Callithrix jacchus: one gene and its partners. The protein of the gene in region 1 interacts with the protein of each later gene in a biochemical or structural test. Links are inferred from orthologs where the notes say so. Each region holds a gene or a part of one and is shown in the gene's direction. Other genes may lie near its edges. The genes, in order: MAGI2, CRHR1, ADRB1 and PTEN.

Region 1 (7,410 bases):
AGGCAGGGAGGGAGGCAGGCAGGGAGGCAGGCAGGCAAGAAGAAAAACATGGTCTTAAAGAAACAGAACTAAATTGAACTCTTCTTGTTATTGTATGTCAATATTTCATAAAAACTAGATTTTCCAGTCTTAGAGAAGTGTTCTTACTGTCCATCACAATCTGTCTCACCTTGCTGAGGCAGGTGATATAGGGCAAGGTGGGATAAGGGCTGCCTGCTGAAGAGGCCCCTGGTACTTTACAGAGCTTTGCAGGCTCATGCCTGTGCAAGTACCACGTTTGGCACTGAACTGAAGAGTTTCTACGCAGAAAAATGAAAGTATTCAACCACTCATATAGATGTCCATCTTTTAAATCACTTTGAAATAGTAATTTTAATTTCTCATTAATATTTTTAATCAGTAGTGACTTGGAACATTTTAGCGTTTAATTTCTCTCACTGTTAAGTGTTTAATGATCTATAAACAAACTCTTGAGAAACTTTTATAATAAGAGGAATCTTTGAATTTGTGAATAATTTCACCTTTTATTTTACCATATGAAAAATCACTGGAGGAGGAAAAGAAAAGAGTGTCTCCCTGAATCTCAGAAGTAATTTGAGGCCAACTAATGATGGATGGACATTTATTCGTCTGGTTTAATAGTTTTGCATTTTCCTGGATAGGAACTCTCCAGTTCAATGCCAGACATGTGGTAAGATTTTCAGAAATAAATGCCACGTCTTCTACTTAAGGACAAGATCTGGTTGCTGTTGGGTGTCAGTGGCCACTGTCCATGCCCATTTCACATACTTTGATCCTATTTGCAGGGTAACATCTTGTGACAATTTCTAAGTACAAAGAGTAAAGGAATCCAAAATTTTACTCTAGACTGGACCATTTTGTAATCTTGGTCAAGTTATTTAACCTCTCTCTGCTTGAATTCCTCCTTCAGGAAATGGTGTGAATAATATCAACCTTCTCCTTGTATCTAAGAAGTAATTTGAGGCCAGCTAATTAATTCTACCATATGTGATGTAATAATGGGGAAAAGAGCTATTAAAATGTGAAATATCATTACCATGGTAGAAGTCAGAGATCACTCTTGCACAGGCTACCCTCTCTTTTGGCCTTTTGAAGATCACTTTTTAACTCTTCTAGACTGTATCTCCCTAGATGGGTGGATTGCCACCACCTATCATTTGCTAGTTTGATTTTAAACTCTAACCCAGCCAAAAGTACAAAACATTCTCATTTCCACTGGATACATTTGCCTTTAAGGATTTCAGACTATTCCTTGAGGTAACCAAGGATACCTGAGGTGTAGCAAAACCACACCTGGGAATCACAGCACATGGAAATGACTGCCTTATTGCACTTACTCAAAACCTCACCTGCACAGGTACTAGTTAGTGAGGTGGCTTTCACAGGAGCTCAGTCTTTAAGTAGGCAGCAGGTGGGGTGCAAAAGAAAAAATGTGACTGACCCTCCCCTTGCAAAGTGCTTTCCCTTATAAGGTCTATGTCCCACATCTGTAAAATAGGATATTTTATTCCCACCTCAACAAGGAAGAAATTGAGGCTCAGATTTAGTTGTTTGTCCAAAAATCAAATCACCAGGAAATACATGCCAGAGCCAGGATTATATTTCAGGGCTTCTGATGCTCTTCTAGGATTTCACTCACTATGTGAAAATGATAATGGACATCAGTGTATGGAAGAAGGAAGGTTAACATTATGCCCAAAATGTTCCATTCAAATTTCACATACAATGATAAACTTTTTTGATTTGCCATTCTAAAGATGGCAAGAATTACTGGGAAAACCAACGCCACTGCTCTTTTCCTCTTCTTATTGCTTTACAAATCAGTATCAAAGGTACTATATAAGAACCCTCAAGTTTCAAACAAAGTAGACCCTGGACATTAATGGACTGAGTATATGAAAGCATCCCTGACAGCCTCTGACATGTTACAGAGGCAGGAGCTTGAATCACATGCACTGAGGCTGCCGTGTGGGACTGAATCTCTTAGCTAGTGAGGGAGGCTTACCTGGCACTCAGAATTCACATCTATCAATGTGATTTCTTTGCTCTCCACTCATGACCCTATGCCAATTCTACAGAAGAAAAATTACACTCTGGAATGATATCACAAAATTTGAGCATTTTCAAGGTCATGAGACATATTTCTTACAAATATCAAGGAATCACAGTAATTGGATTTCCCTACTTTCATTTCCCCTTAGTTGTTGCTCACAGTAACAGTTAACTCATCTCAGATTCCTAATACATCTGTCCTTCTACTTGGCTTCTGATCAGCTGTTGCTTTTTTAAAAAATAAGTCATCTCTCATTTTTATCATTGTTTTATACGTGTTTTGATGTTGTCAATTGTCTTAAATCCTTTTTGGAAGTAGATAACTTAAATCTTAAGTAAATGTTGGAACTAGGCTTCCTAGAATTATCTTAGTCTTGGGGCCCTCCATAATGTTAGAAGTACTAAAAAGAATTAAGTTTCATCCAGACTTGGCAAAGAAAAAAAAATTAAGGACAACGATTTTTTTCTTCTAATTGTGGTTAAAAAGGAAAAAAAAAGGACGACTTTTTAAAAACAATGATCTTTTAAACTGAATGTATCCAAATTCTGAAACTGACAGCAGCTAGGACTATGCTTTGAGTGACACCTACTGGTTGAGAACGTCACTCCCCAACTTAGAACCCAGACCTGTGTTTCTCAAAGCTTGGCTCGAGACCAAGCTTGTCCAACCCGCGGCCAGCTTTGAATGTGGCCCAATACAAATGTGTGAACTTTTTTAAAACGAGATTTATACATGGTCCTTTTTTTTTAAGCTCATTGGCTATTGTTAGTGTATTTTATTTGTAGCCCAAGACGATTCTAATGTGGCCCAAGGAAGCCAAAAGATTGGACATCTCTGCTAGACCACCTTTTTCAGAATCACCCAGGTGCCTGATAAAAATAGAGACCTTCCTGGGCCCCGTGCGGCTCACATCTCCGGGCCTGGTCCTCCCAGGGAATCTGTATTTTTCACCACCACCCTGGTGATTCCAAGGTCTGCTCGAGCTAGAGACCTATTGATTCAAGAGCTGTCAAGTGAGCTGTCCACACAAGACTGTCAGACCCGAGGGCACCCCGGGAAGTTACCAGCCCAAAGCGAAGCTATTAGGCCTGGGCTTCGCGTTGGCCTTCCCAGTCCACGGACGGGGTTCGGGTCGTGGGGGATAAGTGGGGCGGAGGGAACCCCCAAATCCCCGGGGGCGCGGCCACTGCCCTCTTGGCAGTGAGGGTGGGAGTGGCGGTGGCTCCGGCCGCTGAGAGCAGTCGCCCCGGCTGCCTGCCCCTGTCCCCGGCATAGAGAGGGCGCGGGGACGGCCTGCGGGCGCCACTGCTAATGCCTGTGCTTCACGTCCACAGACGAATCCGCCCCCTGGAGTTCTCCCGCTGCCGCCGCCCCAGGTCTGCCGGAAGTAGGCGTCTCCCTGGACGACGGCCTCGCTCCATTCTCTCCATCACATCCAGCCCCATCCTCCGACCCTTCCCACCAGATAAGCCCAGGCCCAACTTGGGATATCAAACGGGAACACGACGTTAGAAAACCAAAGGAGCTTTCAGCCTGCGGCCAGAAGAAGCAGCGCCTCGGGGAGCAGAGGGAGCGCTCGGCGAGTCCGCAGAGGGCCGCACGGCCGAGGCTCGAGGAGGCGCCCGGCGGCCAGGGGCGGCCTGAGGCCGGCAGGCCCTCCTCGGAGGCCAGGGCGCCCGGGCCCGCAGCAGCGGACGTGGCACGGGCGGGTGGGAAGGAGGCGCCCCGCGCGGTGGCGGGCTCCGAGCTCTGCAAGCGCGAAGGCCCCGGGGCTGCGCCCGCGTTCGCCGCCACAAGTGGTGGCGGCGGCGGCGGCGCGCGGGAGGCCGAGGGCAGGGCAGGTGCGCGTGCGGGCCCCCGGCCTGGCCCGCGACCCCCGGGGGGCGCCCCCGCGCGCAAGGCCGCCGTCGCGCCGGGGCCCTGGAAGGTGCCAGGCTCCGACAAGCTGCCGGGCGTCCTCAAACCCGGCGCCTCGGCCGCCAGCAGATGAACCGCACGGCCACGGCCCGCCCCCCAGCCTCGGCACGGGCCGTTCTTCTTGGGTTCTGTCTCACAGCGTTTTAATTTATTTTCACTGTCACACGCATAGATCCACGAGGCACCAAGGCCTGGGAGCATCGACGTGAAGTCCCACGTGGCCAGTGTGCATGGGCGGCAGCGCGTCCACGCACAGACTTAAACTGATCCTAAAGCCCCCGGTTCCATTGTGGGGGCTTTGGCAGCTATGGAAGAACCAAAATAACGTGAAGAACATCACAGAGAGACAGTGCAGTGTAGCTTTAGTTTTAAGAAAAAGAAAAATATTCCTCCCCACTGCATGAAGGATTTGGATGTCATCCAAACTTTATATCAAGAAACTGGACAAGTTAAGAGCAATCACAAACTGGAATATCGCCTTAAAAATCAAACTGCACGGAGCAAGCTGAAACTGAGACAAGATTATATCTTTTAACTGATCTAAAGCGTTGTAAATAAATTGTTCTCGACATATCTAGACAGGGGTTAAAGGGTTTCTTTGACGCATTCGGAACTGTTCACCCATGACATGTTTCCATGGCTCATCCTTGGCATCCATCCTCGGTGTTAGCAGCAGTATTCCCTGCCTCCTGCGGGATAACTTAGAAATCTAGTGAGTTTATTGGTGTGATGCCATTTTTATTGCCATTTCTGTAATCAAATCATATTTCTGTACATTTTCAGTGGTAGGAAAAAAAGGTTTAAAATTGTATCCTAGGGAACGGTTTGCCGTACATCAGAATTTTGCAGTTTAGCTCATAGGTCTTAATTGGTTTTTCTCTAAACTATAAATTTTATAATTGAAGGACCACAATTTGTTTAATCAAGATTGGCAACGCTGCAGTTCCTTTATGAAGAGGCTGTTCTGTCGTCCCAGGCTAGCAGAGATGGATAGCTTCTTTGTCAGCAATGTGATATTTCACTTATTTTATTGTCTTATTTTAAACCCTCTCTCCATGACTTCATTTGCACTTTGACAGAGGGAGGCAGAGTATTTGTCTTATATTTCTCAGATTATAATGAATCTCTAATGTTAAAAAATTATAACCAATTTATTTTCATTAAAGAACGTGAGTCCATTTAGCATTCCTTTCTGCTTATCTTTCTTTCCTTACTCTTTCTCCTTTTGTTTCCATTAGTTTGCTTTTGTCTTGTATCCTTTGTCAATTTTTTATTTTGTTAGCAACCTCTAGACATTTGTTTATCTCCATGAATCTGTGATTGGCCTCCTAGTAAAATTCTAAGGCTTGCCTTCCCTACTGTTTTAGCATTTCTTTGTGAAGTGTTAGCTTCAATTAATTATCCATTGGTACTTACTGTAGCTACACATATTAAAAGGCAAAGTGTTTCTGAAGGCAATTTTTTAAAAATATGCCCTAAATGAATGAGGCTTCATCCTTCCCATATTCTTACTCTTTACAGGAGTTCAAATGCAAATAAGCTTCACCTCCCTACACTTGTAGTCTAATGAGTAAAAGAGGCGATCAGGTCCTTCTCAAAGGTCACACGTAATATAGCCTTCCTGGGCTGATCATTCCCCCTCCTTGTAATTGCAGTATCCTGAGTAGCAGTTTAATCATCAGACATCGGAGTAGTCATCAGAGTAGTTTAGTTGTTTGACACGAGGAGAATAAGGTTAAAAGCCTCAAGTGAAGGGTCTTGCAGCTTGTAAAAGCAATGTCCAAAAATGAAACCCATTCATCATAAACAAAAGCACAAACACTTGTAGCAGTTTATAATGCTTTTGGTTTAATCTCAGTTAGTCTTTCTCCCCTGGACTAGAAATCCAGTATAGTTTGCCATTAATTTATTGAATCTGGTTTTGGACAACGCTTCTGTAGTGTAGCTGCACGTCCTGGTACTGTATCCTCTGACCTTTATTTTCCATGTGTTACAAAAGGAAAAAAAAAATTGAGATTACACTGGCATAAACTCTAATTTGCACAGTTCACAGCTACTACTTGTGCAGTAATTGCTTTATGCGGCTGTAATCCATAACCTGTGAAGACAGCACATCATCTAAATCCCATTCCAAATAATATTTCTGTGTAGTGTTAGCTGTGAATTTACCCTGTACAGCTGTATCTCTATAAATATAATTTCATGTATTAATAGTTACAGAAAGACTGTAAGTGAGCAACTATTTTTATGAAACGCACCACTATGGATAAATTAACTTTTACAGAAATCTTGTTTACTGTATGATATTCTAAAACACTGTCAAATAAAATATATATCCAAAAATCTTTTCTTTTTCCAACTATATAGGCTGTGTGTTAATTTAAAATAGATTATTACTGGGGGTTAACCTAGTTTTTCAAAACTTCAGTTTTCTTTTTTAAGTTTAAGGCCCCAAATAGGACTCTTTTGAAACTTGAATCTAAATGCAGTGGCATTACATGGGAAAGATTCTTGGCTTTTTTGGCCTAAGTAAACAGTCTTCTCAGTCTAGTTGGTATTTACTTGTCAGGTTACTACATAACTTATGAATTGGCAATATAGTTCTGTTGCTTGCTACATTGATTGATACTTTACCTTTTTTCAAAAGGGATCTAAAGTATCAATCTGTAATAAATTCCATCACATTTTTTCCTTTTAATTCTGAATTGTTCTTCATGCAAAATCCCCATGAGTTCATGCAGAAGCCAGCATAGTGAGCAGCAGTGAACAGATCCAAAATGAACGGTCGACTATAGCTTTATCATGAATTACAATGCCTGTGGTAGGAAGAGAAAGTTCTGTTTGACCCTTGGGTGATTACAACCCTGCCATCAAGGACCTGACAATCGGAAGGAACACTTCAACACTAATCAAGACTCCCCTCTCCACCTGTCAGTAGGGGGCCTAAAGTTCCCAAACTGTCAATCTTTTATTCCAATACAAAATTTTTTAATATTGTGCATCGTTTTTATAAAGGAGGTGACATGTAAAATGGAACACAAAAATTAAGAAATTTGTACATGTCATTCTTTATGAAGTCATCTGAGAATGGGCCAGTACAAGCTGAAAAAGACCTCTATAAAAACTAATTTAAATGGAGTATAAATATTCATACTGCACAACTTATTTTTTAAAAAATAAATACAAATTACTAAGATACTAAAAACACAGAAAGTCAGAGATCAAAGGACTAGGACAGAAACAGGGCAGAAACTAGGGGGAGGCCAGCAAGGCCCCTGCTGGCTTGGACAGGGCCTTATCATGAATTCACATCTCCAAGGTACAGACAGGAAAATCTGAACACAGGAAGGAGTCAGGTGGGGACTGTCCAAAGGGTGAGTGTACCCTCCCTGAAGCTGCTGGTTTGTCAAGTCCAGTAT
Region 2 (7,854 bases), on another chromosome or scaffold:
AACTCCTGACTTCAGGTGATCCACCCACCTCGGCCTCCCAAAGTGCTGGAATTACAGGTGTAAGTCACTGTACCCAGTCACATTTAGACATTTTTAAGCAATTTGACCGAATAGTTTTATATCCATATGATGTGCTAGTGTTTAAAACTGGGCTTTCATTTTGTCTTTTTTTATCGCATATTTCTTTTTTTTTTTCTTTTCTTTTTCTTTCTGTTTTTTTTTTTTTTAAAGACTGAGTCTTGCTCTGTTGCCCAGGCTGGATTACAAGATCTGTGGCAAGATCTGGGTTCAATGCAACCTTCACCTCCCAGGTTCCAGTGATTCTCCTGCATCAGCCTCCCAAGTAACTGGGATTACAGGCGGGCACCACCACGCCAGGCAATTTTTGTATTTTTAGTAGAGATGCGGTTTCACCATGTTGGCCAAGCTGGTCTTGTACTCCTTACCTCAAGTGATCTGCCTGCCTCGGCCTCCCAAAATGTTGGAATTACAGGTGTGAACCACCACAACTTACCTTTTATTGCATTTTTCTAATAATTCATTCCTGCAGTGTTTTGCAATCATATTGGCCTGTGACAGATTAGAAATATAAAAATGCAGAACCAGTCCTTTGCCACAGTTGTCTGAGAAGTACGTTTCAGACCATCAACCTTCCTGGGATGGTTAAGCCAGCGGAACCTCACAGGTAGGAGGTATCTATTCAGCCCTCCCCACCCGGGTCTTAACCATCATTACATCAAATCTGTCTCTCCTATTGTTTGGAAGGACAAGCAATTATCTTTTATTCCTGTTTGGAATCCTCACATTTCTCCTTTCTTACAAATCTGGCAGATTAAATGAATGAAAGCCGATTCTGCTGCAGGCCTGGACAGGAAGGGGAGAGGTCAAGGGAGGGATGGGATGAGAAGAGAGTTTGGGGAAGATCAGGCTGGGAAAAGAATGCTGGAATGGAGTAGAAGCCTGTCCTGAGGAGGGTGTGCAGAGGCTGCTAAGACCACCCCAAGCCATGGGGCTGCTCTGGCTAGGGCTGAGAGGGGAGGCAGGGTATGGGAGGGAGGGACAGGGCAGACACTAGCAACTTCACCAGGCCTAGGAGATGAGAGCCAGGCCCTTGAAGGTGAAAGAAAGTAGCTTCAGGACAAATGAAAGGGGATATTGAACCTTTTTAAAGAGGGAATGTTAAGTGCCAAACTTTATAACCCCCCTGAGGCTGCCAAGGCCAAAACTATTAATAAGTAGGTCGAGGAATTAGGCAGATGCCTCCCTCCTCCTACCTGCTAGTCTGCCGCTGAGGTGGGGTGTGGTGGGGTGGAAGGTAAATCAGTGAAATCAACACGAACAGGATGAAATGTGCTATCTGTAGACGCCACTTCAAAAAGCGAGAAGGTCTGACTCCTGGGCAAAAAAGTCAGGAAGAGCCAGGCTTGATTGCAGTCCAATCGATGGCATTAGCATATTTAAAGATCATGTCAAGGAGATGATAATGGGGCTCAGAGAGGCAAAATTTGATGGTGTTTATTAAGCAGAGAGAAACACAGAAGCTGGAACTGTCTAGTCCCTAGAGAGTGTGCTCCAAGGTGGGGCCAGGGAGGGAGCGGGGCCTTGACTGGGCCTGGCCAAAGCTCCTAGAGGACCAACCGGCTTCTTCTCCTCTGATTCCCAAATCTACTGCTGCTGGTGACTTTCTTATCAAGATTTCTGCTCCCCACAAAGAATCGCCTAGAGGGAGGGACCAAGCTGCCCCTCACACTTGAGCATCCAGTCCACTCCATCGTGATGATTATGTTGATGTTGATGATGATGATCGTATTGGTGACTACAGCTAACCCTCATCAAGTTCTTGCAATGTGTGCCAGGCTCCGTTCCAAGCTCTTTACAAATATCAGCTCCTTCTAACTCCCCAACCATTCTCAGAAGTAGCGTTTCTATCCCGATTATATAGATGAGAAAATTGAGGCATTGTTAAATAATTCTCTTACTTTATACAGCTTGTTAGTGGAAAAGCCAAGATTCAAAGTCAGGCCGCCTGACTCCAGAACCTGCATGACATCAGACTGCCCTGCACTTAACTGTTGTTGAGGCCAGTTAGTTGGCCACCTGCTTAGCACGTCCATCCCATCTGGGGTTGGCTGGGGTGAGTCAGTGCCCAGCTCGGCACAACCATGCGGGTTTTGCAAGACTTGGGACTGTGTGCTTCACCTAGAAAGTGCCAGGTGTGTGGCTAAGCCATGTGAGCAGCTGGCTTCCTGGGCAATGACCCTCCCCACTTCAGAGCCCCAGGCCCCTTTAGGGCCCAGCCCTCCAGGTGCTGTGAGCTGGCAATCAGGAGAGGGAGCACTAGGCTTACCAGCTGTAGGACTTTGGACAGGTCACCACCCTCTGTGTGCCTCCATTTTCTCACCAGTAAATTCTATGTTGGATCATATGACCTCCTAAAATGACTCCAGCCCCAAATGAAGGCCAGTGGACCCATGAACATGCTGGCTCTTGCCCACTGTGCTGAGAAGTGGGTGGGAGGGAGTAGTAGGGTGGGCATAGCAGTGCACAGGATGCAGGGCAGGTGGGTTCAGTTTGATTTCAAAGCCGATTGCCCGCGCCTCAGGTGCTTTGGTGTACCCTATAAGGATTGCATAGGCCAGGCAGCCTAGGCTCTGCGGGTGAAGATTTCTCTACCTCCCAGTGACTCCTCTTCTCCCTTATCAGCTCTGATAGGAGAGAGGAAGAGGGAAGAGGACGTCAAAAGTTCTGTTCATCCGGAAGGGCTGGGAGTTACTTCCTGGGATGGGGAGCTCGTGAGCCAATCCAGAAGACGACCACGGGGTCTGGCGGGAGCCCCAACGCTGCCCTGAAGACTCGGCCGGGAGGGGGCGCTGTGGCCTCCCCACCCCCAGCCCGCAGGCTCCTAGCCGGGTTCGCCGCGCTGCAACGCAATCCGCACCTGGCTTTACCCAGGGCTGCGTTCAGTGCCCACTTGTCCTGCAGGGCACCGCCGTCTCCCTTTCATCTTGGGGCTCCCGGGTCCAAAAGGTTCCCAGATCCAGCCCCTTGCCTGAACCAAAGTGGGCAGGCACTCAGATTGTAAGATGAACGAATGAACGAAGGAACGAACTAATGAATAAGGGCTCATCCTGCAGAACGTTCGCGTCTCAGCGCGCACTAGGCACGTCAATGCCAAAGGTGCTGGGAGTCGGGCTCGGAGCCCGGCGCGGCTGGAGTGGGGGCGGCGAGGAGCTCCCGCTAGCCAGCTGCAGGGCGGGAACTGCCCAAACGCAGGTCGCAGCTTCCCCGGGTTCTGCGGCGGCTTCGCTCAGTGGGGACCGCCCTGTTCCACCGCCACCAATAGCCTCGCCCTCATAAATTCACCTGAGCACCCCCGCCCAAGTGCCCCCGGCTCCCCTGGACTTCCCAGGCCCGGACCTCTGCCCGGCGGGAGGTAGGAGGCTGCATCCTCTCCTGCCACCCCCTCGCCCATCCCGGGCTTCTCCCCGGGCTGCGGCGGCCGCCACCGCCGCAAGCACGCCCGGAGGACTGCCGCAAACCCGGGCGTAGGGAAAGGGGATCCTGGCGGCGGGGCGCAGGCGGCGGGCCAGGGGAAGAGGAGGGAGCGGGGAAGGAGCCGAGGGGCGAGGGGCAGGGAGGGAGCCGAGGGGCGAGGCGCGGAGGAGGGACCGAAGGGGAGGAGAGAGGAGGGGAGGGGAGAGGGAGAGGGAGAGGGAGAGGGAGAGGGAGAGGGAGAGGGAGAGGGAGAGGGAGAGGGAGAGGCGGGGGGGAGGGGGAGGGGAAAGGGGAGGGAGGGGACAAGCTGGGCGAGGGGGCGGGGAGCCAAGGCGAGGAGCCGCGCGGACCTTGCGGGAGGCGGCAGGGGCTAGGCTGGCAAGAAGCGGCCTCCCGCCGGGCTGAGTCGGGAAACGGCGGCCAGACTTCCCCGGGAAGGGGCGAGCGAGAGCCGGCCGGGCCGGGCTGCGGGGACGGGGAGCGCGGAACCGGGCGCCTCCTCACGGGGCAGCCACCGAGGAGTCCGGCCGCCCACCGCGTGCTGCCCGAGCCCGCAGCAGCCCGCCGGCCCCTCTGGGATGCCTGGGGGACCCGGGCGTTCAGGACAGTAACCGAGCGAGCCGGAGGATGGGACGGCACCCGCAGCTCCGGCTTGTCAAGGTAAGAGCCCGCCGGCCCGCCCTCCAGCGCGAGCGCCCCCAGCCCCGGGCAGACGCGGGACAGGCCGGGCTGTGGGTGCGATGGAGGAGGGGGCGCCAGGAGAGCGGCAGTCAGGTCGGGGAAGGCTGGGCTCTGGGGCAGCCTAACTCTCTGGACCTTTGGAGCCAGGGTTTGGTGGGCAGGGGGAGACTCAGGTGAGAAAAGAAATCGTGGCTGAGCCGCCGGGATGTTGGCGGAGGAGGGGTCTGCCCACTCGGGTAGCCGTTTCCGCGCCAAGAATCGCTCTAGGCTTTGGGGCAGACGCTGGGTTCCGCCTCCCACGCCCTCCCTGCAGACCCCGGCCCCAGGACGGGAGGCTCTGAAGCGGGGTTCCCCGCCTCGCCCCAGCACCTTCTCATAGCTCCCCGACTCCGCCCGCCCCCGCCCCAGTCCCGGGAGCGCATCCTGCTCCTTCTCCTCGGCTGCAAGCTGCGAGTCCAGGGAGATTAATGCGGCCCGCGCCTGCGAACCCTTGATCAATATCGCAGTCTCGGGGGAGGGGACCGTGCCTCCGGCGGCGGTTACCATTCCCTCGCCGCGGCCCGGGAGCGCAACACTCGCTCTCCGAGCCTGGGCACCGAGATCCCCGCGCTGCGCAGCCTACCCTGCGACGCGGATCGGTCGCTGGAGTTTAGGAAAGTCGCCAGACCTTACGTCCAGCGTCTGCCCGCTGAACTTCGTGGGCGGCGGGGGCGGCCCAAGGGCCGTGTGCGCCCGGGAAGGGCCGGGAGGCCGGCAGTCCGGCCCGCCCCTAGTGCCAGGCGTCACTTGCAGCCCCGAGCGCTTTCCACAGCGTTCTGGTCTTGCAAGGTGTAGGCGCGCCCGCTGCAGCCGGCCGGAGGGGCGGGTGGGCCTCTGCGCGGCTGCCGGGAAACCCCGTGCCGCACCCGCCTGGGCACGGCCTCGCCCGGGGCTCGGGATCCCTCAGGGTCCGCTTCAGCCACAGACGTAGACGCCAGCCTGACCCGGTTCGGGGCATTCAAAGCGATTACATTAAAGAGACTTTGGTGGATTTGGGGGAGGGGTGCGGATTGGCGGAATTTCATTTTTCCATCAGTTATTAAACCAACTGTACGTATAGCGGCTTACCAAGTGGTTTGAGTTAAAGCACCAAGATTTTTTAATGAGACGTTACAAGTTACTGAGATTTTTCTCTAATCCTGCCCCTCCCCAGATATTTATAAGTTGATTCTTGAAATGACTGAGGGTTGGTCTCATTGAACCCACATCCCCTCCCCTGTCTGTTACCTGAGGGCTAGAGATGAACTCAGAGATTATTTTCTGGGCGTTCAAGGAGACAGACGGATGAGGAAGGTGAAGAAAAACATCCAGAGAGGTCGAATAGGTGGCACTGAATGGGAATATTTTCCAAAAGTCTTGTGTGTATCGAAGCCTGGTCTAAATGCACAAACCAGTTAGACCAAATTCAGTCTTTTGAACGGATTCAAAGGATTGAAATGTGGGTGTTTTTGTTTTTTTTTTTTTTCCAGTTTACACTGAAATAGATCAATGTTCTTTTTCTGGCCTTCTTTAGAGTTGTGTGCAAATCTCTGTTTAGAATGATCATGTTTTTCTTTAAAAAAAAAAAAAGGGGAGTCTTTTTATTTCTGTTATTCCTACCAGATAGTGGGGTGTGTGCTCTTTATGACTGGCCTAATAAACTCAGTCAGCACTCAGTAAATACCAAATGAATGAGGCTGAGCCAGGGAATGGCCAGCGAATGCTGGTTTCAAAGCTGGTTTCTATTAAATAGTTGCTTTTTTCTTTTACTTATGTAGCATGTACAATTCACTGGGCATTATTCTACCTGCTTTGCAAATATTAAGTCATTGAGTCCTCCTAACAGCCCTAGAAAGTAGGAATTATTCCTGAGACACAGAGAGGCTAAGTAACTGGTTCAGGGTCACAGAGCCAGTGAATAGTGAAGTCAGAATTCAAACCTGGGCACTCTGATATAAGGCTTTGTTTTGTTTGCTTTTACCAGAAAATATCTTTTTTTTTTTCTTTTTTTTGGGATAGGGTCTCACTCTGTCACCCAGGTTGGAGTGCAGTGGTGTGATCTCAGCTCACTGAAGCCTCAACCTCCCTGGGCTCCAGTAATCCTCCCACCTCAACCTCCAGAATAGCTGGAACCATAGGCATGCACCACCACACCCAGCTAATTTTTGTATTTTTTATAGAAGTGGGGTTTCACCATATTGCCCAGGCTGGTCTCCAAACTCCTGGGCTCAAGCGATCAGCCAACCTCGGACTCCCAAAATTCTAGGATTACAGACGCGAGCCACTGTGCCCAGCCATTACCAGAAAATATGTTAAGCCCCTTAAACCTCACCCTAGATCTTAGCCAGATGAGAGCCCAGGTAGTTTTGCCAGCATGAGAGTATAAATCTAGGGACTTAGTGTTCATCCCAAATCCAGCGCTGTCCCCAGCAAGTCAGCCAATGTTGGGAAGGGTCCACTCTGGGGCCTATATTGTGGGCCTCGCACTGTACCGGTTACAGAGTCCTGGGGGGAAATGCGTGTAAATGGGGAGAAACAGGGTGTGTGACCGTGTATGTATGAGTGGGGAGGGACGATGTGTGTGCAAGTGGCCATGAGTCAGAAGACAGGCAAGACATTGTCTCTATCCCCAGGAAGGGGCAGGGGCCTGAGCACCTGGGAGTCACCCACGCACTCACTGCAGCTCCTCACAGGGAGGTGGAGTGTGACTCTAAACATGGGTCCCAGTGTCTGTGAGGGGTGCAGAAGGCAAGGCCTCTCCATGGGTTCTAACAGGAGAGTGATCTCCCAGGAGGGAGCTGGTTTTATTATTATTGTTATTCTTATGTAAGCAACTTAGCAGCTATAGGCAAAGTTTGAAAACCAGAATGGAAAAATGATTGCAACCTCACTCTCTGAATCCAGCTGTTGTGTAATTCATTTAAAAAATACCCCCACAGGTCCCCTTCTCAAGCACCTGTCTGGGCACAGCTGTGGCTGCCGGGCAGCCCACTCCCCAGTGTCACAGCCCAAGTCTGTTTCACGTTATCCGGAGCCTCCTTGGGAGAATATGTCTGCATGTTGCCTGCAAGTGAATGGACTTTGCCGTCCCTATATGGGTGCATATCTGGGCCATTTCCAAGTTGTTTCTTTGATTAAATGATATGGAGCCAGGTTTTCGAGGGGAGCATTGGCAGGAGCCATGAGGAATGTGAAACGATGAGCCCAGCGTGCGCCAGTGGGCTCCTGCAGCCTTCGGGAACTACTGGCCTGCCCACAGACCGGGGGCAAAGTCGGAGAGGGGTCCAAAAGCCTGGCCAAGCCCATCTGATTGGAAATGACCAGCCATAGAGAGGAGTGTGTAGATAATGGAAAAGTAGAATACTCACCCAGAGCCAGTGAGGACAAGCTCAAGTGGAAAATCCATTTCTCACCCTCTCTAACATTTGGCTCCTCAGAGAGCACTGTTCATCTTTTACCCTTTGTGGCGCTGGGCCTCACAATTGTTGCACATAGTAGGTGTTTAACAAATGTTTGTGGACTGGATGGATGGTTTTATTGTTGCTTCTTCTGTTAGGTATTGTACAACTGGAAAGAACCTGTTTCTGTTCCCACAGGATGCAGATGTCATGTCAAAACAGAAGGCTGAGAGATGCTCAAACCACCCTAGCTGAAAAGCCA
Region 3 (7,948 bases), on another chromosome or scaffold:
CCCACTGAGAAAGTACAGATGTAGAAAAAGAAGGAATATGTATCCACAAAAGGAAAAGGAATACGGAAACGCAACTTGTGGTGACAAGGAGAGTTCTAGTATGAAATAGGGTTGCTAAGGCCATTTGGAATTGGACTGGGAAGAGCTATGACTGTCAAATTGAAGAGATAAGGTTGCAGAATAGAAAAGCATCTTGGTTGAAGCAGCATTTTGGAAATATTCCTTTGGCTATGGTATGCCAGATTAAATGGAGCAGGGAGGACCAGAGACAGGGAGATCAAATAGAACCCATGGCAAGTCCTGGTGTGGGGTGAGGGTGGCGGGATGGGAAAGGAAGAAGTGGGGGCAGGAACTCTGCAGAAGACGTGCACAACCTCTCAAGATCAGCCTTCATCGTTGGCGCTTTCTGTCATTTTCCAAAGTACTGTCAAATATACGGGTTTTTAGAACTAATTTGCTTTAACAGTTGCAAGTGAATAATGAAGAAATGAGGGAGTTTTGTTCAACTTACAATATCCAGTACTTGTATAAGTTCATATGTTTTTATTCTTGATCTTGTATCCTTACTAAGAACAAAAAGTGTTAGGCTAAAAAATGTTACACACACACACACACACACACACACACACACACCCTAACCATAAAATGTAGGAATCAAAGGAGTTCCGAGAATATTTTATTTTTATTAGACAACCAACACTATTGAACATGAACTATTCCAAACTCTCCTGTCAGGAAAATGGAAGGAAATTCCCAAGAATTCCTGAGATCCCTGTATGGATACTCCTGCTAGAATAGCCTTCTGGTTTTCAGTGTTTATAATTTAATGTATTTATTATACAGAAATTCAGAGAAACTTGATGTATTTCTGAATGAGCAGGGGAAAAAGTTTCAGGAGAGTTTTCAACAATTCAAATGTCACAGTGTGTTTATATACGTAATGATGATACAGCAAAGTTACTGGCATCTGGCTTCTGCCCTGAACCTCTACAACCAAGTTCTGGCCTTATCGCACACAGAAAAGCAATGCCTTCCACCCTTCAAGGCCATTTAAGGTTGGTACACTATTCTGGTAACACCACTTGACAGAAAGATGGCAAGGAAAAACCTCTTCCCCACATTCCCTGTGCCTCACCCTGCAGCCCAGCACTCAGAGCTCCTTTCCTGAGCAGCATCAATTTCAACTTCTTCCAATCCCTTGGCTATTTTGAGACTGCCCCTTGGGGGCCCAGAAAGAAGCCAGAAGGCTGGGCACAGTTGCTCACTACTGTAATCCCAGCATTTTGGGAGGCCAAGGTTTTCGAGACCAGTCCATGGTGAAACCCTGTCTCCATTAAAAATACAAAATTAGCTAGGTGTGGTGGTACATGCCTGTAATCCCAGCTACTTGAGAGGTTAAGGCTGGAGAATCCCTTGAACCCAGGAGGCAGAGGTTGCAGTGAGCCAAGATCGTGCCACTGTACTCCAGCCTGGGCAACAAGAGTGAAAAAGAAGGAAAGAAAGAAAGGAAGAAAGAAAAGAAAGAAGAAAGGAAAGCAAAGACAAAAGGAAGGAAGGAAGGGAGAAAGAGAAAGGAAGGAGCGAGGGAGAGAGAAAGAAGGAGAGAAAGAGAGCGAGAAAGAAAAAGAGGGAAAGAAAAGAAAGAGAGAGAGAAAGAAAAGAAAGAGAAGGAGAAAGAATGAAAGAAAGACGCCAGGAATCTCAGGCTTGCGGTGACATGGAAAACTTGGGGTGTAGTCTCCTTCTTCCCCTTTTTCTAAGTCCTCTTGTTTCCTGGCACCCCTCCTCAACCCCCCCAAGTTGGCAAATCAGCTGATAAATCCTGGGCAGGGAGTGAATAAGCAAATTACTCCCCAGTTGTAACACTCTAACCATCAGTCTTGGGCCTAAAGCAAATTCATATGTTTGCATTTCTGTAAAAGAAAGTGGTTAAAACTGCTTGGCTTTATATAAACTTTAAAAACATTCCTTTTTGCTTTTGACCTGGACAGCTGTGGAAATCAGTCTCTCCTTGCAAGGTAAGAATATGAGCTTGATCATACTGACGACCAACATCAGCAAAGATGCTGATGTTCATTGCAGGCACTGTTCTTACTCCAATGCCAGAAGGACCTGTGAGAATTATATAACATTTTCATGCACCCTTACATAAACAATTAGAAGCTGTTTACTTCTCAAGGACCCAATTAAAGATATTTTGTTTTTCGAGCCTGAACTGAGGACACTACAGGGGCCAAATGAGAGAAGGGGCTTGCAGTCCTGCCGCACTGAATATTCATGGCTGTGCCCCCACCCCAATATAATCCATTTCGCCAGGTTAACAACTCACTCATTTCAAAGCGATTCATTTGCCAACTCAAAAAAACACAGATACAACTTTAAATGCTTTCGGATTTTAATCCTCTGGAGTATTTATATGTGTTCTTGTCTCATCCCTCCAAAACTAATCCCAGAGTTTTGAGAATCTGGGAACTTGGGAAAAGGAGAAAACAAGCAGCAGACCAAGGAATCTGAAATGGTAGTTCATGACGTCAGCCGAAACTGACAGTACCTTTGTGTTGGTACTGACCTAGCTCAAATTACAAAATCACAAGAGTAATAAAACACAAAATACAGGTGTTATCACTGACAAGTCTAAAATGTAATTAAGCATGTTTTTTTTCCCCTCGCAGTCGTACCGTTTGCTCTGTATCTCAACGTTTCTGTCTCCCTAAGCCTCTCCCTTTATCATGAGCACACACCGTTGCATCTTGCTCACACATTCATTAGCTGGGACTGAGGAGTGAATACGATGCCAGCGGGTCCTCAGCGTTAGCTGTTAGATGCACAAACCTTCGCATCCTTTCCACTTCCACTGCACTTGAGGTTCAACAGAAGATCCCTGCAAGAACAGCGCCCAGAGAGCATTCTGAACAGATGCGCCCTTGGCTCCAGCAACCCGCTCTGCTGGGAAGTTTCCTCTAACCACTAACACCCACCTCTGATCCCCCAAGCTGTCACGACACAGGCTGGCTGGGTCGCCTCTTGACGGGGGAAGGGTTTTACACACACCCTGCTAGGCTGCCCCATGCCACAACCAAGCTCGCAGGGCAAACTCCTTCATGCCCGGCGGGCAAGCAGTCCCAGGCGCTCTGGCGCTTCCAGAACACCAAGGTCCCCTCCTCGCTCCAAGGAGCGAGCGCTCTCTGCCGCAGGGAACCCCCAGGACTGCAGGTCGAGGGGATGCTGGGGAAGCAGGGGCGCAGGAGGGAGCCTGGCGCGGGAGGCAAACGGGGCGCAGCAGCGGCTGCGGGAGCACTTGGGGGCCGCGGGAGGGGGCGGGGCCCCTCGGGGGAGCCGGGCGCGGGAGGGGGTGCGCGGAACAGGGACCTGGAACCAGCGGGCGCAGGAAGGGGCGCGTCCGCAGGAACCCGCGGGCCGCACGGGAGGCACTAGCTCCGCGATCAGCTCCGGACTCTCAGGAGCGGCTCAATTGCCAACTGGAGTGGGGTGCGGGGAGTTGGGGGGGGCAGACCCGACGGGGGCGTGCCTTTGCCCCGATTGGCTACAGGAACCTGACGCGAGGCCCCGGGGGTTGGCTTGGGGAGGTGGGAGCGGGGTGGGGTGGGTGCTGGGTGCCGGAGCTGCGGGCCCGGCGCGCTCAGAAACATGCTGAGGTCCCGGCGGCTCTTCCAGCAGCGGCAGCGGCGGCGGCGGCGGCGGCGACAGCGACAGCGCTCGGATCCGGCGGGAAAGGCGCCCGGCGCCCATGCCTCCGGCCCCGCGCCGTGGCTGTCCTGACCCGGCCGCGACCTCCCTCGGCGCACCCCGCCGCCCGGGCTCCTGGGGTGTTCCCTAGCCACTGCCCAGCCCCGCCACACCCACCGCCCCCGGCCTCCGCAGCTCGGCATGGGCGCGGGGGCGCTCGTCCTGGGCGCCTCCGATCCCGCCAACCTGTCGTCGGCTGCGCCGCTCCCCGACGGCGCGGCCACTGCGGCGCGGTTGCTGGTGCCCGCGTCGCCGCCCGCCTCGCTGCTGCCTCCCGCCAGCGAAGGCCTCGAGCCGCTGTCGCAGCAGTGGACGGCGGGTATGGGCCTGCTGATGGCGCTTATCGTGCTGCTCATCGTGGCGGGCAACGTGCTGGTGATTGTGGCCATCGCCAAGACGCCGCGGCTGCAGACGCTCACCAACCTCTTCATCATGTCCTTGGCCAGCGCCGACCTGGTCATGGGGCTGCTGGTGGTGCCGTTCGGGGCCACCATCGTGGTGTGGGGCGGCTGGGAGTACGGCTCCTTCTTCTGCGAGCTGTGGACCTCGGTAGACGTGCTGTGCGTGACGGCCAGCATCGAGACCCTGTGTGTCATCGCCCTGGACCGCTACCTCGCCATCACGTCGCCCTTCCGCTACCAGAGCCTGCTGACGCGCGCGCGGGCAAGGGGCCTCGTGTGCACCGTGTGGGCCATCTCGGCGCTGGTGTCCTTCTTGCCCATCCTCATGCACTGGTGGCGGGCGGAGAGCGACGAGGCGCGCCGCTGCTACAACGACCCCAAGTGCTGCGACTTCGTCACCAACCGGGCCTACGCCATCGCCTCGTCCGTGGTCTCCTTCTACGTGCCCCTATGCATCATGGCCTTCGTGTACCTGCGGGTGTTCCGCGAGGCCCAGAAGCAGGTGAAGAAGATCGACAGCTGCGAGCGCCGGTTCCTCGGCGGCCCGGAGCGGCCGCCCTCACCCGCCCCCGCGCCCGCGCCGCCGTCAGCGCCAGGACCCCCGCGCCCCAACGCCGCCGCCGCCGCCGCCCCCCTGGCCAACGGGCGCGCGGGCAAGCGGCGGCCCTCGCGCCTCGTGGCCCTGCGCGAGCAGAAGGCGCTCAAGACGCTGGGCATCATCATGGGAGTGTTCACGCTCTGCTGGCTGCCCTTCTTCCTGGCCAACGTGGTGAAGGCCTTCCACCGCGAGCTGGTGCCTGATCGCCTCTTCGTCTTCTTCAACTGGCTGGGCTACGCCAACTCGGCCTTCAACCCCATCATATACTGCCGCAGCCCGGACTTCCGCAAGGCCTTCCAGCGCCTGCTCCGCTGCGCGCGCAGGGCCGCCAGCCGGCGCCACGCGGCCCACGGGGACCGGCCGCGCGCCTCGGGCTGCCTGGCCCGGCCCGGTCCTCCGCCGTCGCCCGGGGCCGCGTCGGACGACGACGACGACGATGTCGTCGGGGCCACGCCGCCCGCGCGCCTGCTGGAGCCCTGGGCCGGCTGCAACGGCGGGGCGGCGGCGGACAGCGACTCGAGCCTGGACGAGCCGTGCCGCCCCGGCTTCGCCTCGGAATCCAAGGTGTAGGGGCCCGGCGCCCCGGAACGGCTTCCCGGGGGATCTCGGAGATCTGTGTTTACTCAAGACCGAAAGCAGGTGAACTCGAAGCCCACAAACCTCGTCTGAATCATCCAAGGCAAACAGAAAAGCCACGGACCGTTGCACAAAAAGGAAAGTTTGGGGAGGGGTGGGAGAGTGGCTTGCTGATGTTCCTTGGGTTGTTTTCCTTCTTCTTCTGTTTGTGGTCCGGCCTTCTTTTGTGTGTGCCTGTGATGCATCTTTAGATTTTTCCCCCCAGGTGGTTTTTGACTCCACGAGGATGGGAGTGGAAGCTGGGTGGGCAGGGGAAGGGAGAAGAAGCATTAGGAGGGGATTAAAATCCGATCAACCTGGCTCCCGACCCTGTCCCAGGAACAGGGGCAGTCTACCAGCCAGAGAGAGGAGAATGACAGTTTATCAAGGCATATTTATTTCCTTTTGCTTTCCAGAGAAATTTCATTTTAATTCCTAAGTAATGGTTTCCGCTGTTATGAAAGCGAAAAGGATGGATGCAAAAAAAAAAAAAAAATCACGTTTCAAGAAATGTTAAGCTCTTCTTGGAACAAGCCCCAATTTGCTTTCCTTGTGTAGGGCAAACCCTCTGATCCCCCGCGCGCCTGGATGGTCAGGCTACGGGATTTCTACCTCACACTGTGCATTTGCACAGCAGATAGAAAGACTTGTTTATATTAAACAGCTTATTTATGTATCAATACTAGTTGGAAGGACCAGGCGCAGAGCCTCTCTCTGTGACATGTGACTCTTGTCAATTTAAGACAGGACATGAAAAGAGAGAGAGAGACAGTTTTGATTACTGCACATGTGGATAAAAACAAAAACAAAAAAAGGAGTGGTTCAAAATGCCATTTTTGCACAGTGTTAGGAATTACAAATTCCACAGAAAACATTACTTGCACAAAAAGAAGTTAAATATTTTTTAACTGGGGAAGTGGTGGGCAGATCTTAAAAACTAAAATAAAATTCAAGCTCTACTTCTGTTGTCTAGTATGTTATAGAGCTAATGATTTATTGGGAAAATACCTTTTTATACTCCTTTATCATGGTACTGTAACTGTATCCATATTATAAATATAATTATCTTAAGGATTTTTTATTTTTTTTATGTCCAAGTGCCCACGTGAATTTGCTGGTGAAAGTTAGCACTTGTGTGTAAATTCTATTTCCTCTTGTGTGTTTTACCAAGTATTTATACTCTGGTGCAACTAACTACTGTGTGAGGAATTGGTCCATGTGCAATAAATACCAATGAAGCACAATTGAGATTATGTATCGTGTGTCTGTACGGGGTCAGCAATAATGAAAAAGACAGCTTGTTTTGTTCAGAATACAGACTGGATTTCTATAGAGCTCTTTTAATAGGTTTTCATGATTCAATAACATAGCAAAATGCCTCCAGACCAAATAAGGTGTTTACCTACTGAGAGCTCCAGATTTGCCCTAAATTTTCACAGCCAGATTAAATGTGTAGGCACTTTCAAGATCCCATCTGCTGCACTTGACTTAAGAAGTGACATTTGGGATTGCTTATATTCTAAAAATAAATTTAAAAACCAGTGATGTGGCCATTTAACTCAGCTGCAACTTTCATGGAAATGCAGGAAAGACTCATTGAATGATCAGTTGCCTACTTGGAATGCAGTAAGTGGCTTCCACAGCTTATTTTTGTTTTCCAATAGAAAATCACAGCCTGCAGATGATCAGTGTGTGCAGATTTCTCCAGAGGCTGTTTAGAATGAAAAATGCTTTCATGGTTAAGCAAAAATATATAAAAGGGCTTCTGAAGTAAATGTTTTTCCTCTAGCGTAGTCAAGTAGATCATTTTGCCAGAAGTTCTGGGTGGACAGATCACAGGTAAAAGCAAATGTGAAAGGATTTAAGTTTCTAAGAAAATTAAAGCACCCAAAGGATGGGGTCTTTTTCATAAAGTTAGTTCCTAAAGGAAAGTATGGTGAAATTCTGTCCTGATAGTGATTTTACATTATCCAAAATACATTAAAATACTCTATTTTTAAATAGGCTTTTTATATCATGACCATACAGTAAAGAAATCAAAGTAAAGAGTATTCATGTCTGGCTTATGCTACACTTTAACACGAGAGAGTATTCTCTAATAGGGAAATGTCGAGACTGAACATTGTTTTTTGCAATGGCATATTCTAAAGACAAGGCAACCATCTTCTGAGAAAGGTTAATGACGTAGATGTTTTAGAGACCAGCAGAAGGTTGCACAAACAGGAGCAGCCTCAACAAAAGCTGCTATGAAGTTTAACCCCTTTCCAGCAAGAAAGAGAGAGAGAGAGAGAGAAGAAAGAAAGAAAGGATGAGCTTCTTTAAGAATATAAAAATAAATATTTAAAGAAATATATTTTGGAGCATGTATAATCAGTCTCGGGATGAATGTCACTATAATTTCCCTAGGAACCAAATATGGTTAATTTCTATCCACTCCCCACCATGAGTGTGTAAGATGCATTTTCTTAGGGGTTTTGTCCTTTTTTGTCTGAAATTACTAGACACTGAAGTAGCAGTTAAATGCTTCACTTTCTTGATTTCCTGATTATTTACTTATTTTGTCTAGATAAGTCTTCACATTTAAATG
Region 4 (7,410 bases), on another chromosome or scaffold:
GTATTAAGAATATTGCTAGTAATATTTTGCCTATAATCCTAGCACTTTGTGAGGCTGAGGCGGGTGGATCACTTGAGGCCAAGAGTTTAAAAGGCCAGTATGGTGAAACCCTGTCTGTACTAAAAATACAAACCTTAGCTGGGTGTGTGTCCCACATCTGTAATCCCAGCTACTTGGGAGGCTGAGGCATGAGACTCGCTTAAGCCTGGGAGGCAGAGGTTGCAGCAAGCCGAGATCACGCTGGTGCACTTCAGCCTGGGTGACAGAGTGAGACTCTGTCTCCCCGCCAAAAAAAAAAAATTGCTAGTAATAGTAATACTTAAAAATCAGTAAAGGGGCCCCTACATGTTTTAAGTGAAAATAGATCTAATATTAAATGCCTTTAGCTCTTAAATTTAAGTGTTGAGAAGTTTCCCTTTTTAAAAAAATTTTAATATATAATAATTATACATATTTATGGGATACAGAGTGATATTTTCATGTATGCAGTGTGTGATGATCAAATCAGGGTAATTAGCATATGGATTACCTCAAACATTTGTTATTTTTTTGTGTTGGGAACATTCAAAATTCTATCTTCTAGCTATTTGAAAATAGACAATAAATTATTGTTGACTCGTTACAGTTCTGTAGAACACTATAATTTATTCCTCCTATCTGTAATTTTTAATCTTTTAACCAACATCTTCCTATCCTCCCCTCTCCCTCCCTTCCAAGCCTCTAATAACCACACTCCTATGAGCTCAACTTTTTGAGCTCCCATATGTGAGTGAGAACATGCAGTATTGATCTTTCTGTACCTGACTGATTTTACTTAACATCATTTCCTCCAGGAAAGACATTTTCTTTAAAATCTACAGGTTTCCTTTGTTTTCTCTAAATCTGCATTTTGCTTAACCATTAACCTTTAAACTATCTTTTCCTTCTAGTTTTATTGTTTTCTGTTTTAATATTGCAAGATTTTTATATTTGTGATTACAAATAAAAGCTCTGTTATTAGTAAACAAATACAATGTCATATTGTGGTAAGTGCTATAAAAATAGAGAGAATAATCTTGGTTTGTGTGTTTTTTGTTTTTTAGCTAGGATGATTAGAGAAGGCCCAACCAAGCACATAATATTTAAGCAGAGCCTAAATCATATGAGTGAGTTATGCAAATATCTGGGAAAAGAGGGAAGAGTAGAGATGCAAAAGCCTTTAGGCAAGGAGCTTGGTGTATTTGAAGAGTGGATAAGTCATTTTGACTAAAACAGAGTAGACAAGAAAACCAGTCCATGTGTAAAGATACTTGTGTGTGTTCAGCATAGGAAGGATATAATCTGAATTTTGCATTTAATACTCCCTGTGTTTATGCTTTCAAAATATAGATAAGTGAGGAAAGTAGGGAGAAGGGGTAATAATTAAAGCTGAGAGATAGTTGAGGCACTTGAATAGTTTAGTAAAGGTGAGAGATGATGTTTTCTTCTTGTTGCCCTTCACTGCTTAGAATAGTGGCAGTGAAAGGTAACAAGAAGCTGTCAGATTAACTAAAAGGGTTTACTGATGGAGTGGATGTTGGTTGTAAGAGAAGAATAATTGATAATGACTCTTGGATAATAGGGAGGGGCTGTCAATATAATACAATGAAGAAGGGATTTGAAGTCAGATCTGATTTACATCTCAAATCTACTACCTACTATTTATAGATATGTGGCCTTTAACAAGTTCCCTAACCTTTCTGGGCCTTAGCTACCTCTCCTTGAAAACGGAAATACCTAACATATAGGGTTATTTTGACAGTTATTTTCACTATGCATGTAAAGGCCCTTGGCTCTCTGTTTAGACCACGTTATGAGGTTACTGTCCCTCTCCTTCCTTCCTTTAGGTGAAGTTTTTAGGGCTCATAAATTCTAAATATCAGTGTTGATCAGTAGTTTGTGTGTGTGTAGTGTTTATATCAAAAAATACATTGAAGTCGGGCACAGTGGCTCACGCCTAAAATCCCAACACTTTGGGAGGCCAAGGTAGGCAAATCACCTGAACTAAGGAGTTTGAGACCAGCCTGGGTAACATGGTGAAACCCTGTCTCTCCAAAAAAATATATAAAAAGTAAACTAGCTGGGGGTGGTGGCATGTACCCATAGTCCCAGGTACTTGGAAGGCTGAGGTGGGGGGTCACTTGAGCCTGGGAGTTCGAGGCTGCAGTGAGCTGTGAAGGTGCCACTGCATTCTAGCCTGGGTGACAGAGCAAGACCCTGTCTCAAAAAAAACAAAAAGAAAAAGAAAGAGGAAAAGAAAAAAAAAGAAAAGGAAAGGAAGGAAGGAAAAGAAAAAAGAAGAGAGGGAAGGAAGGAATTGATTTTTAGGTAACTAGTAAGAGAAACATTCTTTTTGAACTTAGCCATTTGTGAATTGAATTTTATAATTGAAAGGCTATATTATGTAAACTATTGATAGCTTTCAATCTTCATTTATTTTGTAGAATTATTTAGTTAATGTTTGCAGCTTATATTCTTTAAAAAATAAATTGAGGCCAGGCATGGTGGCTCATACCTGTAATCGTAGCACTTTGGTGGTTGAGGCAGGTAGATTGCCTGAGCTCAGGAGGTTGAGGCCGGTATGGGCAATATGGTGAAACCCCATCTCTACTAAAATACAAAAAATTAGCTGGGTTTGGTGGTGCACACCTGTAGTCCCAGCTGTTCAGGAGGCTGAGGCACGAGAATTGCTTGAAGCCAGGAGGCAGAGGTTGCAGTGAGCCAAGATCATGCCACTACACTCCAGCCTGGGCAACAGAGCAAGACTTTGTCTCCAGAAATAAAAACAAATAAATAAATAATATTAACATCCTGATAGTCTATTAGTATGTTAATTTTGGTACCTAGCAAGAAAGAAAATGTTGAATATCTTAATAAGAAGAGGGTCATTTAAAAGGCCTCTTAAAAATCATGTTTGTTACGTGCTTAAAAATTAGTGTGTTTATCTGCAAAATGGAATAAAAAAGTTAATCTGTTAAAAATGCCTTTCACTAAATAATTTAAGATGAGTCATATTTGTGGATTTTCATTTTAAATTTTCTTTCTCTAGGTGAAGCTGTACTTCACAAAAACAGTAGAGGAGCCGTCAAATCCAGAGGCTAGCAGTTCAACTTCTGTAACACCAGATGTTAGTGACAATGAACCTGATCATTATAGATATTCTGACACCACTGACTCTGATCCAGAGAATGAACCTTTTGATGAAGATCAGCATACACAAATTACAAAAGTCTGAATTTTTTTTTTTATCAAGAGGGATAAAACACCATGAAAACAAACTTGAATAAACTGAAAATGGACCTTTTTTTTTTTAATGGCAATAGGACATTGTGTCAGATTACCAGTTATAGGAACAATTCTCTTCCTGACCAATCTTGTTTTACCCTATACATCCACAGGGTTTTGACAACTTGTTGTCCAGTTGAAAAAAGGTCGTGTAGCTGTGTCATGTATATACCTTTTTGTGTCAAAAGGACATTTAAAATTCAATTAGAATTAATAAAAATGGCACTTTCCCATTTTATTCCAGTTTTATAAAAAGTGGAGACAGACTGATGTGTATACGTAGGAATTTTTTCCTTTTGTGTTCTGTCACCAACTGAAGTGGCTAAAGAGCTTTGTGATATACTGGTTCACATCCTACCCCTTTGCACTTGTGGCAACAGATAAGTTTGCAGTTGGCTAAGAGAAGTTTCCAAAGGGTTTTGCTACATTCTAATGCATGTATTCAGGTTAGGGGATTAGAGGGAATGCTCAGAAAGGAAATACATTTTATGCTGGACTCTGGACCATACACCATCTCCAGCTATTTACACACACCTTTCTTTAGCATGCTACAGTTATTAATCTGGACATTCGAGGAATTGGCCGCTGTCACTGCTTGTTGTTTGCGCATTTTTTTAAAAGCCTATTGGTGCTAGAAAAGGCAGCTAAAGGAAGTGAATCTGTATTGGGGTACAGGAATGAACCTTCTGCAACATCTTAAGATCCACAAATGAAGGTATATAAAAATGTCATAAGAAACACAGCAACAATGACTTAACCATATAAATGTGGAGGCTATCAACAAAGAATGGGCTTGAAACATAAAAATTGACAATGATTTATTAAATATGTTTTCTCAGTTGTAATGACTGCTCCATCTCCTGTGTAATCAAGGCCAGTGCTAAAAGTCAGATGCTATTAGTACCCACATCAGTCAACAACTTACACTTAATAGTTTCCAATCATATACCTGCTGTGGATGCTTCATGTGCTGCCTGCAAGCTTCTTTTTTCTCATTAAATATAAAATATTTTGTAATGCTGCACAGAAATTTTCAATTTGAGATTCTACAGTAAGTGTTTTTTTTTCTTTGAAGATTTATGATGCACTTATTCAATCCAATAGCTGTCAGCCGTTCCACCCTTTTGACCTTACACATTCTATTACGATGAGTTTTGCAGTTTTGCACATTTTTTAAATGTCATTAACTGTTAGGGAATTTTACTTGAATACTGAATACATATAATGTTTATGTTAAAAAGGACATTTGTGTTAAGAAATCAGAGTTGCAGTAAACTTTCAGCACTGCACAAAAAAAAGACATTTGATTTTTCAGTAGAAATTGTCCTACATGTGCTTTACTGGTTTGCTATTGAAAGAATAGGGGTTTTTTTAATGTGCAGTGTTGAATCATTTCTTCATAGTGCTACCCCAAGTTGGGACTAGGGCTTCAATTTCACTTCTTAAAAAATATCATATATTTGATATGCCCAGACTGCATACGATTTTAAGTGGAGTACAACTACTATTGTAAAGCTAATGTGAAGATACTATTAAAAAGGATTTTTTTTTCCAGAAATTTGGTGTCTTCAAATTATACCTTCACCTTGACATTTGAATATCCAGCCATTATATTTCTTAATGGTATAAAATTTCATTTTCAATAACTTATTGGTGCTGAAATTGTTCACTAGCTGTGGTCTGACCTAGTTAATTTACAGATACAGATTGAATAGGACCTACTAGAGAAACATTTATAGAGTTTGATGGCAAATAGATTAGGCAGAACTTCATCTAAAATATTCTTAGTAAATAATGTTGACATGTTTTCCATACCTCGTCAGTTTCATGCAAAAATTTTTAAATTTTTAACAAAGCTCTTAGGATTTACACATTTATATTTAAACATTGATATATATTGATTGATTGCTCATAAGTTAAATTGGTAAAGTTAGAGACAACTATTCCTAACACTTCACCATTAAAATTTATATGCCACCTTGTTTTTCATAAAAACTGAAAATTGTTACCTAAAATGAAAATCGATGTTTTGAAGATAGTTATTAATACTACTTTTTGTTACAATTTTGGGCACTGCATATTAAAACATAACTTTTATTGTTCCAATATGTAACATGGAGGGCCAGGTCATAAATAATGACATTATAATGGGCTTTTGCACTGTTATTATTTTTCCTTTGGAATGTGAAGGTCTGAATGAGGGTTTTGATTTTGAATGTTTCAATGTTTTTGAGAAGCCTTGCTTACATTTTATGGTGTAGTCATTGGAAATGGAAAAATGGCATTATATATATTATATATATAAATATATATTATACATACTCTCCTTACTTTATTTCAGTTACCATCCCCATAGAATTTGACAAGAATTGCTATGACTGAAAGGTTTTCGAGTCCTAATTAAAACTTTATTTATGACAGTATTCATAATTAGCCTGAAATGCATTCTGTAGGTAATCTCTGAGTTTCTGGAATGTTTTCTTAGACTTTTTGGATGTGCAGCAGCTTACATGTCTGAAGTTACTTGAAGGCATCACTTTTAAGAAAGCTTACAATTGGGCCCTGTACCATCCCAAGTCCTTTGTAGCTCCTCTTGAACATGTTTCCCATACTTTTGAAAGGATAGTTGAATAAATAGCATCACCATTCTTTGCTGTGGCACAGGTTATAAACTTAAGTGGAGTTTACCGGCAGCATCAAATGTTTCAGCTTTAAAAAATAAAAGTAGGGTACAAGTTAAATGTTTAGTTCTAGAAATTTTGTGCAATATGTTCATAACGATGGCTGTGGTTGCCACAAAGTGCCTCGTTTACCTTTAAATACTGTTAATGTGTCATGCATGCAGATGGAAGGGGTGGAACTGTGCACTAAAGTGGGGGCTTTAACTGTAGTGTTTGGCAGAGTTGCCTTCTACCTGCCAGTTCAAAAGTTCAACCTGTTTTCGTATAGAATATATATACTAAAAAATTTCAGTCTGTTAAACAGCCTTACTCTGATTCAGCCTCTTCAGATACTCTTGTGCTGTGCAGCAGTGGCTCTGTGTGTAAATGCTATGCACTGAGGATACACAAAAATACCAATATGATGTGTACAGGATAATGCCTCATACCAATCAGATGTCCATTTGTTATTGTGTTTGTTAACAACCCTTTATCTCTTAGTGTTATAAACTCCACTTAAAACTGATTAAAGTCTCATTCTTGTCATTGTGTGGGTGTTTTATTAAATGAGAGTTTATAATTCAAATTGCTTAAATCCATTGAAGTTTTAATTAATGGGCAGCCAAATGTGAATAAGAAGTTTTCAGTTTTCTTTGCTGCTGTCCTTCAAAGCCTACTATTAAAAAAGCATGGCCTTTGTTAGCTTAGGAGTAGAGTATCTGTCTACTCATGTTTAGGAAAAGGATTTATTTTAGGGCTTTGGTCATCACTTCATAAATTGTATAAGCACATTAAATAGCATTCTAGTCCTGAAAAAGTTCAAGATTCTTGGAAAATTGTGCATATTTTTGTTTTATTAAGCCAGATGTTTAAAGATAATTCCCCACAATGGATTTGCTACTTTAGATTTCAATTGTGTGGCTTTTCTTTATAGTTCTATACTCTGCCATCAGCATATGGAAAACTTCATCAACTCATCATGACTTGTGCCATATAAAAATTGATATTTTAGAATAGTCTAAAGGACTTTTTGTACTTGAATTTAACCACGTTTCTAATATTCTTAAAAACTTGAAGACTAAAGCATATCTTTTCAACAAAGCATAGTAAGGTAATAAGTGAAAGTGTAGTTTGTACAAGTGTTTAAAAAATAGACTATTAATATTACAGTGGGATTTAACTATTTCAAGTTTACATTTTTTCCATGTGATTTTTTAAAAAAGTAAATGAAAAATGTGCAATAATATAAAATATCAAGTGTAGTGTACACACATTTTTACATATCTTAGGTATACAAATGGTTGAAAACTACTGGAGTCTAAAATTATAAGAAGATATTTTGGTGATGTTTGAAAAATAGAAATACGCTAGTTTTGTTTTTATATCATGTTCTCAGTAAGTTGTAGTATGAGCTGGCTTGGTTCAGTAAATGCCATCACCATTTCCA

What was found.
Region 2: the proteins of MAGI2 (region 1) and CRHR1 form a complex in vitro, tested with the Homo sapiens proteins (2 studies listed by BioGRID and IntAct, with this or other methods). The link is inferred for Callithrix jacchus from reciprocal best matches to the Homo sapiens genes MAGI2 and CRHR1.
Region 3: the proteins of MAGI2 (region 1) and ADRB1 interact in a test that uses a peptide from one of them, tested with the Homo sapiens proteins (4 studies listed by IntAct, with this or other methods). The link is inferred for Callithrix jacchus from reciprocal best matches to the Homo sapiens genes MAGI2 and ADRB1.
Region 4: the proteins of MAGI2 (region 1) and PTEN form a complex in vitro, tested with the Homo sapiens proteins (2 studies listed by BioGRID and IntAct, with this or other methods). The link is inferred for Callithrix jacchus from reciprocal best matches to the Homo sapiens genes MAGI2 and PTEN.

Annotation. Positions count from the first base shown.
Region 1 is NC_133512.1:72,036,529-72,043,938, forward strand, and holds the end of MAGI2 (membrane-associated guanylate kinase, WW and PDZ domain-containing protein 2), read left to right. Parts: intron 1-3,408; coding exon 3,409-4,064; 3' UTR 4,065-6,334; downstream 6,335-7,410. UniProt on the Homo sapiens protein: Seems to act as a scaffold molecule at synaptic junctions by assembling neurotransmitter receptors and cell adhesion proteins. Plays a role in nerve growth factor (NGF)-induced recruitment of RAPGEF2 to late endosomes and neurite outgrowth.
Region 2 is NC_133506.1:86,532,426-86,540,279, forward strand, and holds the start of CRHR1 (corticotropin-releasing factor receptor 1), read left to right. Parts: upstream 1-3,829; 5' UTR 3,830-4,122; coding exon 4,123-4,155; intron 4,156-7,854.
Region 3 is NC_133513.1:106,980,552-106,988,499, forward strand, and holds ADRB1 (beta-1 adrenergic receptor), read left to right. Parts: upstream 1-3,619; 5' UTR 3,620-3,888; coding exon 3,889-5,316; 3' UTR 5,317-6,609; downstream 6,610-7,948. UniProt on the Homo sapiens protein: Beta-adrenergic receptors mediate the catecholamine-induced activation of adenylate cyclase through the action of G proteins. This receptor binds epinephrine and norepinephrine with approximately equal affinity.
Region 4 is NC_133513.1:80,557,375-80,564,784, forward strand, and holds part of PTEN (phosphatidylinositol 3,4,5-trisphosphate 3-phosphatase and dual-specificity protein phosphatase PTEN), read left to right. Parts: intron 1-3,067; coding exon 3,068-3,253; 3' UTR 3,254-7,410. UniProt on the Homo sapiens protein: Dual-specificity protein phosphatase, dephosphorylating tyrosine-, serine- and threonine-phosphorylated proteins.